Linked DNA regions of Saccharomyces cerevisiae S288C. Changing the gene in region 2 together with the main gene of any one other region gives a genetic interaction. Each region holds a gene or a part of one and is shown on either strand. Other genes may lie near its edges.

Region 1 (3,363 bases), on a different chromosome or scaffold from region 2:
ATGCCACATTATCTATAACTCAAATGAATGTTAAGCCCGATACCACGGTAAAACAAGTGAAAGATTTCATATGTTCTGTTTACACTCACTCATTAAACTTGAGGAGAAATGATATCAAGTTGATTTATAAGGGACAGTTGCTTCATGAAAATAATTTTGCAGGCAACTCTTCAAAGATCAGCGAGTACATTAAAGAGCCACATGAAGTGAAGGTCCATGTACAAATCAACCAAGAGTATACAGAATCTGGGCCTGGATTTTGGAATGAAGTGTTCAACAATCCGAATATTTTCCAATTCATGCCTCCAGATACAAGGTCACAGTCACCTGTTAGTTTCGCTCCGACGCAAGGACGATCTCCTGCTGCAATACGTGGCGAAGAACGGGGTATACCATACGTAACCGAATCTGGAAATGACATCGTGCCCACAGATGAGCTTTATAGGAAATGCATTATCAACGGGGATGAAGTAGTATTCATTCCTGTTAGCGAACTAAATCCACAATCGAGCTATTTGTCCGTGATCAAAGGCGATTACGGTGAAATTAAAATCCCCATATCTAGTAATGACTACAGAATTAATGGCGATAATATTTTGCTATCACCATCTGCGATAGAGCAGTTAGAATCTGCTTTGAACTTCAAAATCGAGAGACCACGGGATTCGACACTCTTGCATCCGTCTGGTGAGCATGTTCGAGCTGCAGATAATACCTCTTCGGCAAATGATAATAATACAGTTGAGAATGACGAGTCAGCGTGGAATAGAAGGGTAGTGCGTCCCTTGAGAAACAGCTTCCCGCTGCTATTGGTATTGATAAGAACATTTTACTTAATTGGCTATAATTCATTGGTTCCCTTTTTTATTATTTTGGAGTTTGGAAGCTTCCTTCCCTGGAAATATATCATTTTACTAAGCTTGCTTTTCATTTTTAGGACTGTTTGGAATACCCAAGAGGTGTGGAATTTATGGCGAGACTATCTCCACTTGAATGAAATTGACGAAGTCAAGTTTAGCCAGATCAAGGAGTTCATCAATTCCAATTCATTGACCTTAAATTTCTACAAGAAATGTAAGGACACTCAATCCGCTATTGATTTACTGATGATACCTAATCTACATGAGCAAAGGCTATCGGTCTATTCTAAGTATGATATTGAGTACGACACCAACACCCCTGACGTTGGACAATTGAATTTGCTATTTATCAAGGTGCTATCGGGTGAGATTCCTAAGGACGCGCTAGATGAGTTGTTCAAAGAGTTTTTCGAATTGTATGAAACGACAAGAAACATGAACACACTATATCCTCAAGACTCTTTGAACGAATTGCTGCTGATGATTTGGAAGGAGTCCCAAAAGAAAGACATCAATACGCTACCCAAGTACAGAAGATGGTTCCAAACCTTGTGCTCGCAAATAGCGGAGCATAACGTCCTTGATGTCGTACTCAGATACATAATTCCAGACCCGGTAAACGATAGGGTGATAACCGCTGTGATAAAGAACTTCGTGCTCTTTTGGGTTACACTACTCCCCTATGTGAAGGAGAAGCTGGATGATATTGTTGCACAGAGAGCAAGGGACCGTGAGCAACCGGCTCCATCTGCCCAACAGCAGGAAAACGAAGATGAGGCCCTCATAATCCCTGACGAGGAAGAACCCACCGCCACAGGTGCGCAACCTCATCTCTACATTCCTGATGAAGACTAATTGCAATGCGATGTGGCCACGTTATATAATGCGTTTAAGGTGTACGAAAACCCATGCTGTTCTGGCCCGTCGGGTTTTCTGACAAATTGTCCTTTAGGGATTTTTCGGTTTGGCTCGGGTTGGCAAAGTCGGCTGGCAACAAACCAGGACATATATAAAGGGAGGTAATTCGTCAGATCAATGCCGAACCGTTCTCAACGGGCCTTCCCCTCGTTCAATTGCTCACAACCAACCACAACTACATACACATACATACACAATGGTCGCTCAAGTTCAAAAGCAAGCTCCAACTTTTAAGAAAACTGCCGTCGTCGACGGTGTCTTTGACGAAGTCTCCTTGGACAAATACAAGGGTAAGTACGTTGTCCTAGCCTTTATTCCATTGGCCTTCACTTTCGTCTGTCCAACCGAAATCATTGCTTTCTCAGAAGCTGCTAAGAAATTCGAAGAACAAGGCGCTCAAGTTCTTTTCGCCTCCACTGACTCCGAATACTCCCTTTTGGCATGGACCAATATCCCAAGAAAGGAAGGTGGTTTGGGCCCAATCAACATTCCATTGTTGGCTGACACCAACCACTCTTTGTCCAGAGACTATGGTGTCTTGATCGAAGAAGAAGGTGTCGCCTTGAGAGGTTTGTTCATCATCGACCCAAAGGGTGTCATTAGACACATCACCATTAACGATTTGCCAGTCGGTAGAAACGTTGACGAAGCCTTGAGATTGGTTGAAGCCTTCCAATGGACCGACAAGAACGGTACTGTCTTGCCATGTAACTGGACTCCAGGTGCTGCTACCATCAAGCCAACCGTTGAAGACTCCAAGGAATACTTCGAAGCTGCCAACAAATAAGACGCTTGCAGAGTTGTCTAAATGACTACTTATTTAAAATTCACTCTTTACGTTTATACCTATCTATCTATATATAAAACCCATAAACTTAATGCTATTCACTGACAAAACGATACACTACCGTCTAAGAAGCTATTCACACTAGCTCAGTTCTAATAACAATCATCGTCTGGCTCTAAAACGCGTAAACCATTCACTGCCACACTCACTTTAGCTCTGTTGCTGCCCTTCATACGCTGAGACGCGACGCTTCTTTTCTTTCATATGATTTCCCTTCTAGGCGACACGCCATGCCCCAAACGGGGAACACCGCGAATTCCTTCTGGTGCCCGGTTTCCTCTTTGGGAAGGGCGTCAAAATGGTACAGCTCGCTATAGTCGCCAATTACTGCAGATGCTTAAAGGCTTCTGCAACTGTATGTCCAACCTAGTACGTGGAAACTTCAAACGCGAACAATCTGTATGCTGTTTCGGGCTACTTATTGCTCTATACGGTTTTTAGTGGACACGAACTCTTGTAATTATTATATATATATATGCCTTGGCATTTTAACAAGACTCTATGTTGTGATTTCAGTATGATTTGGGTGAAAACACAGTGGTGACCACAGAACAACGAGGTAACAGTTCCAGACCACTACCTTTCCCCTTCAATCTTTGTGATTTGATCAATTCTTGATGTCACAAGAAACAAAAATGCTACCTTCTCTATCTAGTCTTCTATCGGGAACCGAAATCTCGTCCAGCCCCGTATCACCAAGCTTCACTAATCCAAGAACGAGTTTTCACCTCGATGATC
Region 2 (9,896 bases):
AGCAAAAATCATGTCTACTTTACAACGTCGTAGAGTCAATAGGGCGGATTCTGGAGATACTTCCTCCATTCATTCTTCTGCTAACAATACCAAAGGAGACAAAATCGCAAATATTGCTGTTGACGGGGATGATGACAATGGAACAAACAAAAAGATTGCATATGACCCAGAAGAATCGAAATTGAGAGACAACATCAATATCCCTACGTTAACGTTGATGGAAGAAGTCTTATTGATGGGCTTAAGAGATAGAGAAGGATATTTGTCGTTTTGGAATGATAGTATTTCATATGCTTTGCGTGGTTGTATAATTATAGAATTAGCGTTAAGAGGTAAAATCAGAATCTTAGATGATTCCGCCAGGAAAAGGTTCGATCTTTCCGAAAGGTTGATTGAAGTTATTGACAGTTCCAAAACTGGGGAAGTTTTACTGGATGAAACTTTGCAATTGATGAAAAACGACGAACCTTTGTCAATTTCTAACTGGATTGATCTTTTAAGTGGTGAAACATGGAACCTTTTAAAGATCAACTATCAATTGAAACAAGTAAGGGAAAGATTGGCAAAAGGTTTGGTCGATAAAGGTGTATTGAGAACAGAAATGAAAAATTTCTTTTTGTTTGACATGGCGACACACCCCATTGCAGACGCCAGCTGCAAAGAAGCCATTAAGCGCAGAGTACTTTCTGTACTCGTATCGAGGAACATGGAATTAAGTTACAATGAATATTTTCCGGAGACAACATCTTTCAAAATCATTAGAACTTTAGCTTTAATATGTGGATCATATGGGGCAAACGTATTGGAGAATGTCCTGACTACGTTGGAATATGAGAAGAGAGATAAGGCAATTAGTAGAGCTGAAGAAATAATGGCACAATTTTCGCAATACCCATTTGATTTAGAAAAGGAAACTGAGTTAGGTGTCTCCGTTAATTTAAACAAGGAAGTTAAAGAAGAGATAGAAAACAATCCTGGTCATGATTTACAATTGGAAGTTATTGCTGGTGTATTTGAAGTCTTTTCAAGAATGGATATGCTATTATGAAAATAACAACAAAAATCCTCTCTTTGAAACATAAGGAAAAGTCAAGCTTTTTTTTATAAGCCTCTAACATTAATAAACGAAATTTGTATATATGTATATACATATACGGAGTGGATAATAAATAGACCAAACTTTTTGTTATTATATACGCCCACATTCGTATTCATTGCTTTCTTGAATCCAAATGCTTTAAATATGGAGATAAAAATCCGCCATCGCCATATTTATTCAAGTAATATTTTTTAACTCTCACATCTTGAAATATTGATGGTTTTGATGACACATTAAAGTGCAAGCCTTCATTAAATGCGTTTATCAACGACCTTGACTCATTTGCATAAGCTTCACCACATGACTCCCACCAAAAGCCTCCGCCTAAATTGTTATGTGTCACATATTCAGCCTTAGTTTTGACTGATTTAGTGTTATCATAACTGATAAATATTGAATTTTTTTCATCAAAGCAATATGCTGAAACATATTTTGGATCGTATTGTTCTATTGTACCAATCTTTGGTAAATTTTTGTAAGGCCAGATGCCCTCCTTGCCATCAGCTTTATCTATTTCTTTAGTGGGCTTGCCCACTCCTTTGAAAATTTTGTTAATTAATACAGTATTTTGATTGAATGGTTCGAATTTGTTATCTTTGATATGGAAACTTCTTCCGTAGGCGGCCATTCCCAGTACTAATTTTCTAGAATTGACGCCAAATCTATCGATCATATAATGCATGGCAAAGTTTCCATTCAATTCCGTCTCACTGAATAGATTGCTGTGATATCCTGTTGTTTCTGACCACGAGCCATAATAATCGTACGTCATCATATTCCAGTAGTCAACATATTGATCAATTTCTGTGATTGGCAAGTAAAATAATTTATCCTTGAATGCAGGTGCCGCAATAGATAATTGAAAATGATCTTCAGTACGTTTCCCAAATATTTGGGATTCGAGGCTGTTTAGTTTTAATCGCAGCATTCTGACCAGTTTCAGATATCCGCGAGGTTCTGATTCATTGTTACCAGGGAACTCCCAGTCTAGATCAATGCCATCAAATCCTAATCTGAACATTGTTTCCACCGACGAATCAACAAAATTTTGTAAGAGTTTATCATCTTTAATTATGATTTTGAAATTTTCACTATCAGACCAGCCCCCAATTGACATGATAACTTTAAATTTCTTATCAGAACAGGTATTCTTCAAATAAAATAGTTCACCAATGCAACCTAAGGGTAGGATGTTTTGGACACTATTGTTCGAGCTTTCTTTAATTAGTTCTGAATTTTTAATTGCCAGCGATTTATACAAATTCATTTCTAGATCAGACCAACTATCCGTGTTTTCTATACCACCAGTTCTAGAGTTTATTTTGAAAAATGCATAGTAAATGTGAGACACTTGCTTCAAGTTTATGTCGTGAGGGAAATGAAACCTCGGTTTGTATGGGGACCAATTGGAATAATAGACCCCTGATATAAAGGCTTCGTCTCTTATATGGGTTCCATGATTTTGGACATTACTGGGAACTCGATGTCCGCCATTGTTAAAGTTGTCTCTAATATCATCCGACCTTTGGTTCTTAAAAATTTTATTATATAAACACATTTCAATAATAATCGTTATAAAGATAAGTAGTATTAGTAGGTGAGACACTAAGCTGCTTTTTGATCTGTGCTGAGCTGAGTGTCCTACCATATGATCACTCTTGTATCGTCTACTTATAGAGGTTGTTAGTACCAACCTGCAAATACAATTGTTGGACCATACTACCACAAAAGGTTCTTTTCGTTGGTGTATCCTCACAAATAATGATTATTCCACCAAAATCACCAAATTATTGTGTCAAACTAACTGGGATTACCCCACTATTGATTTTTCCAGTTTTTCCGCAATTTTCGCAGCATGTTTTACTTTTATAATGGCATTGTTGCATTACAGCGCCAGTTGTAGGTATCGATGATTTTATGTCAAAGTTTTCTTTCTAGCCAAACTCAGTTATGTCAACTGAACAAGATGCTGTTCTTGGATTGGCCAAAGATTTAGAAGGTATAAATTTGCTTACTGTGCCCAATCTCGAGAGAGGACACCAAAGTAAATTATGCAAAGAGAAAACTACTTCTGATTCATCTTCGTCAAGGAAGCCTTCACAACAGAGAGACAATTATAGAAAGAGACGTCCGAAACTTATATGTATCCCATATACGTCTTTTCTGCATACTGGTATGCACAATTTTTTGACGAAACCACCAAGAGATATATTTCATGAAAGTAAAGAAGTAGCTCTGTTTACCAATGGCCGGGCTTATACAATCCTACGCAAAGACCTTATACCAAATTTGAAAGAAAGTATTGCTGAATTGTATGAAAGCTCGCTTCTTGAGGCAAAAAAGCGGAAAGTCCCGTATTTAGGCCATGACTTATTTGCTAATATTGATGAGTTCGTTCCCATGACAATATCCGAATTAGATAGTGTATCACCGTGTTTTTCATACATTGAGAACTGGATACTAGATAATCCTGGTAAGGATTTTAAGATCGGCAAGAAATTTACTGTTGTAACCACAAGACATCATATCGTAGATTTGACTATGCATCTCTTTAACAGGCGAAATAGACAAACGTCACTAATTGTAACTTATATGGGGGCGGGCCTTCTTTCATTTTGCAGAAATGTAAAAAAAGATTCTCAAATGTCCAAAGAGGGCATTTATTCAAATGATCCAAATATGAAGAAAATTTGCTATTCAGGATTTGAATTTGAAAATTGGGTAACCGAAAATTCCAAAGTCGCTGATTTAACTGGCTCTAAATGTCCTATTTTTTCTCTTGTAGAGAGTAAACTTTCAGAAGAAATTGGTCTTTTAATTCGCTGCGAAATGGATGCATTCAATCCTGTTTCGGAGACAAACACAGAACTAAAGTGTTTTGCCCCATTATCAATGCACAATTCCAATCATAGGAGAAAACTTCTGAAAACGTGGGTACAGACGGGTTTATTACCGAACTCAGATATCATGATAGGTTTGAGGGACAGTCATAGCGGTCAATTACTAGACATTCAATGGTACTCAAGGGACTTATTATGTAAGAAATTCAATCACCCAGGTCTACCTACAAATAAAAAGGAACTTAACTATAATGCCCAAATTGCGGTAGAATGGTGTCATTATTGTATTGAAGCAATTTGTAAGCTGGTGGAGGCAAATATCTCTGACTATAGCAGTACAAAACCAGAATCATTTGAAATCGGTATAGATACTAACAACGCCATCGTCATCACTAAACTTAAGACTACTCCAAGAAACGTAGAATTATTTGGAATGTAGAGACGTGTATAATATATAATACTTTTCCGAGAAATATTTCATTTTCATTTTCGTAAAGTTGTTAACTACGCTAAATATTAGTACTTTTCTTAAATTTATATGGGGAGCCCTTTTTTTCTATGAAAAGCAATGCGTAAACCAAATAAGCAGAATTTTGTAATAGATGAGCAACAATACTGAGAAGGTGATAACTATAAATTTATGTGGGTAGTACGATACCAGAATACATTGGAAGATGGCTCTATTAGCTTTATATCATGTTGTCTTCAGGCCTTCAAAACTTATAGTATAGGTAGATCAAGTAAAAACCCACTGATAATTAAAAATGATAAAAGTATTTCCAGACAGCATATCACATTCAAATGGGAAATCAATAATAGTTCGGATCTGAAACACAGTAGCCTGTGTTTAGTTAACAAGGGTAAATTGACATCATTAAATAAAAAATTCATGAAAGTTGGCGAAACATTTACTATTAATGCCTCGGACGTTTTAAAGTCCACAATAATTGAACTGGGTACAACTCCTATTCGTATAGAGTTCGAATGGATAAATGAAGTCTGGAACATTCCTCCTCATTTGACACAATTCAGGACGATGCTTTCTGAATATGGTATCTCCACTGAGATTTCTATTAATGATATTCCCGCTAATCTGATGATTAGCGATTACCCAAAGAGCGAGGACAACAGCATACGGGAATTGTATGCCCTTGTTAGTACTATACCCATGAAAAAATCACGGTTTCTGATGGAATTGTGTAATACTCTTCTTCCCACATCTAAAACTAATTTAAAATTTGATGAAATGTGGAACGATATGATTAGTAATCCGGAGTACAATGTTTTTGATTTTGATCCAAATATTTTGCTTTCGAAGTTTATGAGGCTGAATAATATCAGAGTGTTAACTACTATCAAAAGTGAACCACGTCTATCATCTCTCCTGCGGACGTTCAATATAAATTTATTTGCATTTGACAACATTGATAGTTTATATAAATATGTTGACAGCTTGGAAGCATCAACAGAATACCTGATTTTGACAACTACAGATAAGAAAGAAAATGGGAAAATTCTATGTACTATCAAAACGATGTTAACATCAATAATAGATGGCACCTTAAGCGCAGTGATTAATATGAAGGGTGCATCTTCAAGAACTCTAGATAACGGTAAATTTGATCAAATTTCTGAAGGAATGTCTACTATTTTGAAAACATCTCGTGCACCTGAAGTTGAAGCTAGTCCAGTAGTCTCGAAGAAGCGAAAATTAAATAGACGTAGAGTACTACCACTCGATAGTCTTGATTTTTTTGCTGGAGGTTTGAGTACTAAGACTCTATCAGAAAATAGGTCTTTAACTGACGCTAAGAGACTTAATTGTGGCGCAGAATCAAAGACTGTCATTTCAAGTCCCAACATTGCAGAGGCAGATGAAAAGCACGCCCCATTTCTTCAAAACGCACTAAAGCCGACTGAAGATATTGGAAAGAAAAGTGGTCACAGTAGCCCTGGTGCTATAATTGTCAGTAGCCCCAACTTAGGTACTGTGAACACGAGTGAGGATTCGTTGGATAAGTCGCTACAGTCACATAAGTTACCACAGCCGTCATTGCCGGAGGTAGCAGGGATTGGCTCTCAAACCATATCTTCGAACTCCGCTGACTATGAAACAGCTGCTGTGAATTCGATGGATGATGCTGAAGTTACTAAGAATTTTAGGGTGAATCATCACCAGAATATAGAGCAACCCTCTAAAAACATCCGTAAACTTTCTAATTATTCACGAGAAATTTCATCTCCATTACAAGAAAATTGTAAGTCACCTGTAAAAGAGTTATCTATTAAAGAGAAATCTGGTACGCCGCACGCATTTGTTGAAGCTATTCAAGAAACTAAAAATAGAGAGGTCAAAAGAGTTAAGTCAACCATTGTTGAATTGAAGGATGAGGAGTTGAGCGAGGAAGCTATTAATCAGCTAAAAAATTTGGCTATTGTAGAACCTAGTAACAATTTACTGAGGAAATCATTTGATAGTGAGGGAAACAAAACAAGCAGAACAACTGAAAAATGGGAAAATAGCCTAATGGAGCCAGAATGGCATAAACGCAAGAATTTCAAGACTTTTGTCAAGGTACGTCCAAAATCAAAGGCGCACAAAGAAGAGGGTAAAAATAACACTCAAAGCTCAGATTTTATACGAAATGCAGCCTTTTTAATCACTAGAAATTATGTTCCGTTAAAAAAATACTCCAAAAAGGATACAACTACAAAATGGGGCACAGAAGAAAACGAAGATATGTTTGCTTTGACGGAGATGGAAAGATTTGGATCGAATACATTTATGTCCGATAATATAAACTCAAACACTATCCAGAAAAGATCTCAAGCTCTAAACAGATTCACGAATGAGGATAGTTCAAATGAAGGAGAAGAAGATTCGTTTTCTTTTTCTCGTTGTTCAGGTACTGCAGCCAGCGTTCAACCACTAAAAAACAAAATTTTTATTACTGATGAAGATGATCTGGGTGATATTGATGATAAAAGCGATAGACTAAATCACAGAGAAAATAATCGTAATCTTTTTGTGGTGAAGGAAATGAACTTACGGCCAAACTTGTCAGAAGAATGTTCCAAGCAAAGTAGACACAGTAGAAGCGCAACTAGTAGATCACGTGGCTCTTTTGGGGCTTCTAATAACGGTGATGGCGACGACGACGATGACGACGGTCCGAAGTTTACGTTCAAAAGAAGAAAAGGATAATGATAAATTTTCCGAGTATTTCCAATTTCATTAAATTATATTTTGCATTATCATTCGATATATGTGTATATATTATATGAAAATTAGTAAAATCAATGTTTGTTTCAGCTGTATCGGATCGGTTTAAAGAAGCACTACAGGTTGCTGGAGGCATTAACTGTAATGTAGCGCGCTCATTGGAAAATTGGGAAGGATCCCCACTTCATATCAACGACTCTCTTTGTACCATGCACTTTGGATAGGTTACTAATAGTCTTGAAATCATCCTCAGGCAGAGTGAAAATCTTAAAATTGGATACAATTCTTTCAGGATTAACCGATTTGGCCAGAACAACGTAGCCTCTTTGAATACTCCAACTGATAATAAGCTGTGCTGGCTCAACGCCGTGCTTTTTAGCCATATCAATAATTGCTTGCTCTTTTAGTAAAGGAGCATTAGCACTCCCAAATGGTGAGTAGGCTTCAACAACAATACCCTTTTCCTTACAAAAGGCAATCAATTCGTCTTGTGGTAGCAATGGATGAATTTCAATTTGATTAGTAGCTGGTACCACCTTGTTATTTGGAGATTCTAATAATTCTTTAATGTTGTTAATAGAAAAATTAGAGACACCAACGGCTTTAGTTTTGCCCGTCTTTGGCAACTCTTGCATCAACTCCCACGTCTTGATAAAATTCCATTCCTTAGTATCGATGTCAACAGTGCCATCTTCTAATGTTGGAATGCACAGAACGTTACCATCAGTAACTCTGTCGGTTTTCAAAGGCACTGGCCAATGCATCAGATATAGGTCAACATAATCCAAGCCTAGTCTTTTCAAAGACTTGTTTAGAGCAGCTTCCGGATCACGTTGTTCCGTACCCCAAAGCTTAGTAGTAATAAAAATTTCCTCACGAGGGACTCCGGAATCTTTAATAGCCCTGCCAACTTCTTCTTCATTCAAATAGATAGCCGCAGCATCAATGTGTCTGTATCCAGCTTTCAAAGCTGCAATTACAGAATGGTAACCGTTATTGTCAACGGAACGCCAAGTGCCGAAACCCAACACTGGAATGGAGGCACCAGTATTTAGTTTTAATGTAGCAGAAGAATTCTTTAACGTAGCAGGCATGGTAGATTATTATCTGTGGGTATATTTGCGACCTGATTATATTGCAAAGTTACTTTATTATCACTTTAGAAAAGAAAAGGGTTTCACGGAATTGAATTGCAACCAAATAGGGAATTGCGTGCTATATAGTTTCCTTTTTCCTTTTTTTTCAAAATTACGTAAGAGCTACTTAAATACACACGTGATGAAAAGTGACAATAGCATCAGTGAGAATGATTTTATGATGTCAGAATAGAAACATTTCTTCATCAGTGTAAAACGCTATAACGCTAGGGCTTTATTTTACTATTTACTCTAACAAATTCTTACATAGCTTATAACAACCTTTTTGGCTCTTAGCCCACAGTCTTTTCCAAATAGGCTTGTTTTTCAAGTTTTGTTCTACGTCATCCCTATCAACTAAATATTTGGGGTGGTGTAACAATTCTTGAACAAAAGATGCCAAAATGAAGTTAAAGTAGAACCTGAATATCAATGACACCAACGTAATTAAAATAGTCATGGTATATTCGTAGCTTTCAGTTGCACTTTGTTTACTTATATCAATACCACGTTCTGTCAGCTTACCTGTCGATATTGGGTTACTTTGTAGTGCATTATTTCCATCAATATTAGCAGTGTCTTCCAAGGTGAACCATTGCGTGGTAAACCATAGAGTAAAAAAACAAGTGGAAATGGTATCGATTGTATAAAGTACGCAGATTTGCGAAAATACCAGCAAGTTTGGCTTATGAATCAAATACAGCCCTTGTGAGAATACGATTAATGTAAATACCGACCAAAGATATGCTATCCATTGCATAAAATCCAACGGATGACCCGTGAACAATGCTAAAATACCATAAGCACCACTGCATTTGTTTAGAATGGAAATACCTAAGACAATCTCAACTGCAAGGTATAGCGGCATAAACCCCAAAAAAGACTATGAAAAAAAAATATGTTTGAGAACAGGTTAGTAAAATTGTGCTTTGCTTCGAATCCTTACAAGTTAACAAAAATTTATAGCGTTTGCCGGAAACATACTTTTGGAAGGGTTAGAAGAGATGATCTCATAACTAAGGTTAATGGTTACAATTGGTAGTTCCTCCCTGGTATTATTTCTTTTCTTCGTAGTTTTTGTACAGATCACTTATACAGCTTTACACAGATTTTCCCGCTTGTTGTGCACTTTTTTTTCGAAGATTATTGAAGAGGGATGCGTTTGGTACAATAAAAAACATAGGTTCCCAAACCTATATAAATATATATATGTATATGTATATATACTACATATATGCTTTGAGAAATATGTGAATGTTGAGATAATTGTTGGGATTCCATTGTTGATAAAGGCTATAATATTAGGTATACAGAATATACTAGAAGTTCTCCTCAAGGATTTAGGAATCCATAAAAGGGAATCTGCAATTCTACACAATTCTATAAATATTATTATCATCATTTTATATGTTTATATTCATTGATCCTATTACATTATCAATCCTTGCGTTTCAGCTTCCACTAATTTAGATGACTATTTCTCATCATTTGCGTCATCTTCTAACACCGTATATGATAATATACTAGTAATGTAAATACTAGTTAGTAGATGATAGTTGATTTCTATTCCAACATACCACCCATAATGTAATAGATCT
Region 3 (3,807 bases), on a different chromosome or scaffold from region 2:
TTGGCTAGACGGGGGCCCCAGGGTGAGTGTGCTAGCCCCTTGGTTCTACCCCCTTCTCCTTCCCTAGGTAACTGACACCATAGCCGCTGCCCGGACCCCCGCCCCTTCCTATCTCCCTTCGGCGAGGGCGCCAGGCCCGCCAGCCGGACTTAGACACTTTCGAGCAAGCAATCCCAAATACGCCATATCAAAATGCAGGGGCGGGGTGACCCGCTTTTCTCGAAATTTCTATCTGGCCCTCTGTTTCGCCCCTTTTACCCTGAACGCGATTTTTGAGCGAGACGAGAAGAGCAGAAATTTCGCAATAAGTTACTACAATGGTGCCCGCTTTAGAATAATAACTCGGGACACATTTATACATTCCCACACACACAGACGAGGCACGGCTACCCACGCGCACAAAAGTAAAAATGGATGGATCGACTATAGTGTTTATACTGACGATGGTGTGCTTGTTTGTTTACACCGTGAAACACAGGGGCGCCAAGCAAGTACCCTCGCGAACCGTACAGGATGCCAAACCGGCGCCCTCGGTCGCCACCAACGACCCTTCTCCGGAGCCAGTACCATCGGCTCCGGAGGAACGCGTTGCTCGGTTAAACAGACATGGTAGTGATCGAAAGAGAGCCGTTAATAGTGACATGGTTGAAATCGTGATGACGATGGCGCCACATGTGCCTCAGGAAAAAGTCGTGCAAGATCTCAGGAACACAGGGTCCATTGAGCACACAATGGAAAATATCTTCGCTGGCAAACTAGATTAGGCATTCTTATGTACCGCATTAAATATATTAAAAATCACAAATCGACTGGCGTAGGATGTATGCGCCTCTTTTTACTATCGCTACTATTGCAGGGGATCTTCTTCACCGGCAGCATGTTCACGATCCCACCTGCCTCGCGCTGGTTCTTAGCCGCTACCGCGCTCTCGTCAGTGTCTAGTGGCTCTGCATGCATCGCTGGCGGCTCTATCCTTGAACCGAATTGCGTTTCTGTGTCGATCGATACATACGAACAGAATCCGTCTGTTGATGAGATTAGTAGGGTCGAGCCATCCTCAGACCATGCTAAATCAGTTATGGGTGAGTAATGTATATTTCCCACAACGCATAACGGCTCCAATACATCCGTGTCGTACACGAGTACTTCGTTAGTCGTTGCTATGGCAAATACTAGCTTATAGGGCAGCTTAAGCACACTCTTCTGGCACGTTTCGTAAAATACGGGCGAGAAAGCCGCCATCAGCGCTGGTTTCTTCAAAGATGGGATTCTAATCGCAGGCCGGTTTTTAACGCCACCAGCGCTGTTCAGTATTCCAGATCTAGTATACACGTATACGCAGTTCGCGACTTCATCACCAGCCACCTTATACACACCACTGGGAATTACGACCAAACCACCACAAGGCGATATGCTGCATCGCCTAAAGAATGAAGGTAGCGTCTCGTTGTGAAAAAGGTAATTTGTCCTCAGGACATCACCTGGACAAGGCAGTTCTGCCTTGGCAATCTTACTTCTAAGTTTCAGCCCTGTAACCACTCCTGCAGATGAAAGAATGACTCCATATACATGCAGAGACCGGTCCGCAGACTGTGAGAGAATAAACTGATTTAATGGGTCCCATGCAACACCTTGGACGTAGTGACCATGATCCGACTGGCCGCATACCAGCATCCCAGCTCCAACATCGAACAGTCGTATCGAATTGTCCATACATGCCACCACTATGTTCCTGTTATCAGGTGACCACGCTAGATCGTAAATCTCTGCCGCCGCAGTAGCACCGCTACCACCACGCAGCCGTTTCCACACAACCCATTTCTCCTTGTTCTCGTCTGCTTCACTAGTCTCCGCATCCATTCCGAATGGTCTGACCACAGATTCTTGCTGTGTATTTGGATCTTCTTGCTTCCATAGCAGCACTTGGCCGTCATCGCCCGCAGACGCCAGTACGTCACCCTTCGAGTTGAATCGGATTACATTTATGGCCTGTTCGTGATGCGTCAGCGAGCCAAGAAAGTCAAGGCTTTCAATCTTACGCACCCCCCCATTTTGTCCGTTTTCATCTCTGTTCAACTTCCATATCCTAACCTTGTTATCACCACCAGCGGTGAAAAGCTTGTCGTTCGCACTGTTCTTTTGGAATGTGAGCGAGTAAACGGGTTGTGAATCATGCCAGTAGATTTGCAAATGTGAAGCTTCCATTGTCCTGCCCCTTTGCTCTAAGCTTTTCTGCCTCCTTCTTTTAAATTCTGATACGTACTATAACGCTATAATAATAGCCCATCAGTTAGACAGCGAGTTAACTAACGTGTTCGCCGGGCAACCCAAGGAAATAAGGCGTCCTTTTCACATTTTCATATTTTTTCAAATTTTTTTCAATTCTAATTTTCCTTTTTCTCCCCCACCGTCTATAAAAGCTAGTAGTTTTCTACTTTTCACCACAGAAATCTATTCCTTCGATAACAGTCCCTAAATAAAAACACGACAAAAAGGCCCCACGCAAGCATGTGCAGCAACGGACAGGCGTCGTGCGCACAAACTTGCTCAGGGGCCCGAATACTAGCACATATGTCAAATTCCTAATTAACGTTTTTTATATTCATCGTTTCTTAGAGCCGTAATTGTGCTGATATCAATATCAGGGAAGAACATACCATATAGAGGTGTCAAGTACACCGAACGATCGTGGTGCTCCCTCAGCCACGGGCGTGCTTGGACGCTATTCCCACATATATACGCAAACAATCTATGTCTTCTCCCTCCTTGCCAGAAAGCCGGCTCCTGCTTGTAGTTAAGGTATATATGTATATATTCCGGGTAAGAATATTTTGTAATACCAAAAATTTTCTTCTTGAAATGAATACTTTGAGACATCTTTAATATTCGAACAGAAACACAAATAAAGAGATAACCCTTTCCACCGCTAAAAAAAGGACCCCATCAGCCATGGCTACACCTTCATTTGGCAATTCCTCTCCACAATTGACCTTCACTCATGTTGCTAATTTTATGAACGATGCTGCTGCTGATGTATCCGCTGTGGATGCCAAGCAATTGGCCCAAATAAGACAGTTTTTGAAAGCTAACAAGACAAATCTTATCGAGAGTCTGAACACAATAAGGCAGAATGTAACTTCTTCCGGCGATCATAACAAGTTACGCTCTACAATTGCAAACTTATTGCAAATAAACGTCGATAATGATCCATTCTTTGCTCAATCTGAGGACCTTTCTCATGCTGTAGAATTCTTTATGTCTGAGAGATCATCTAGACTTCATATAGTATACTCACTTCTCGTTAACCCTGACATCGACCTCGAGACATATTCATTTATTGACAACGATAGATTCAATGTAGTGGGGAAATTGATTTCTATAATATCATCTGTAATCCAGAACTACGACATTATTACAGCTTCATCTTTAGCACATGATTATAATAACGATCAAGACATGTTCACAATTGTCTCATTGGTGCAGTTAAAAAAATTTTCTGATTTGAAGTTTATCTTGCAGATATTACAAATTTTGAATTTAATGATCCTCAACACAAAAGTACCAGTAGATATCGTCAATCAATGGTTTCTACAGTATCAAAATCAATTTGTTGAATTTTGCAGAAATATAAATTCAACAGACAAGAGTATAGATACCTCGTCACTACAATTGTACAAGTTTCAGAATTTCCAAGACCTCAGTTACCTCTCAGAAACGCTTATTTCCAGGATTTCATCTTTATTTACTATCACAACTATATTGATACTTGGACTGAACACTTCAATCGCGCAATTTGATATTCAGTCA

Evidence for each region. A genetic interaction does not mean that the proteins touch.
Region 1: mutations in XRS2 (region 2) and TSA1 together harm fitness more than expected from each alone (negative genetic interaction), as found in Saccharomyces cerevisiae (5 studies listed by BioGRID, with this or other methods).
Region 3: mutations in XRS2 (region 2) and CAC2 together harm fitness more than expected from each alone (negative genetic interaction), as found in Saccharomyces cerevisiae (4 studies listed by BioGRID, with this or other methods).

Annotation. Positions count from the first base shown.
Region 1 is NC_001145.3:218,164-221,526, forward strand, and holds TSA1 (thioredoxin peroxidase TSA1), read left to right. Parts: upstream 1-1,974; coding exon 1,975-2,565; downstream 2,566-3,363. Other genes in the region: USA1 (Usa1p), read left to right, coding at 1-1,715; YOX1 (Yox1p), read left to right, coding at 3,243-3,363. UniProt on the Saccharomyces cerevisiae protein: Thiol-specific peroxidase that catalyzes the reduction of hydrogen peroxide and organic hydroperoxides to water and alcohols, respectively.
Region 2 is NC_001136.10:1,212,264-1,222,159, reverse strand, and holds XRS2 (Xrs2p), read left to right. Parts: upstream 1-4,579; coding exon 4,580-7,144; downstream 7,145-9,896. Other genes in the region: VPS74 (Vps74p), read left to right, coding at 11-1,048; CTS2 (putative chitinase), read right to left, coding at 1,212-2,747; DXO1 (Dxo1p), read left to right, coding at 3,050-4,378; trifunctional aldehyde reductase/carbonyl reductase (NADPH)/glucose 1-dehydrogenase (NADP(+)) YPR1, read right to left, coding at 7,318-8,256; KEI1 (Kei1p), read right to left, coding at 8,546-9,181, 9,283-9,312; MOR1 (Mor1p), read left to right, coding at 9,324-9,722. UniProt on the Saccharomyces cerevisiae protein: Component of the MRN complex, which plays a central role in double-strand break (DSB) repair, DNA recombination, maintenance of telomere integrity and meiosis.
Region 3 is NC_001145.3:66,692-70,498, reverse strand, and holds CAC2 (Cac2p), read right to left. Parts: upstream 2,206-3,807; coding exon 799-2,205; downstream 1-798. Other genes in the region: YML100W-A (uncharacterized protein), read right to left, coding at 188-361; CUE4 (Cue4p), read left to right, coding at 411-764; NUP188 (Nup188p), read left to right, coding at 2,950-3,807. UniProt on the Saccharomyces cerevisiae protein: Acts as a component of the histone chaperone complex chromatin assembly factor 1 (CAF-1), which assembles histone octamers onto replicating DNA.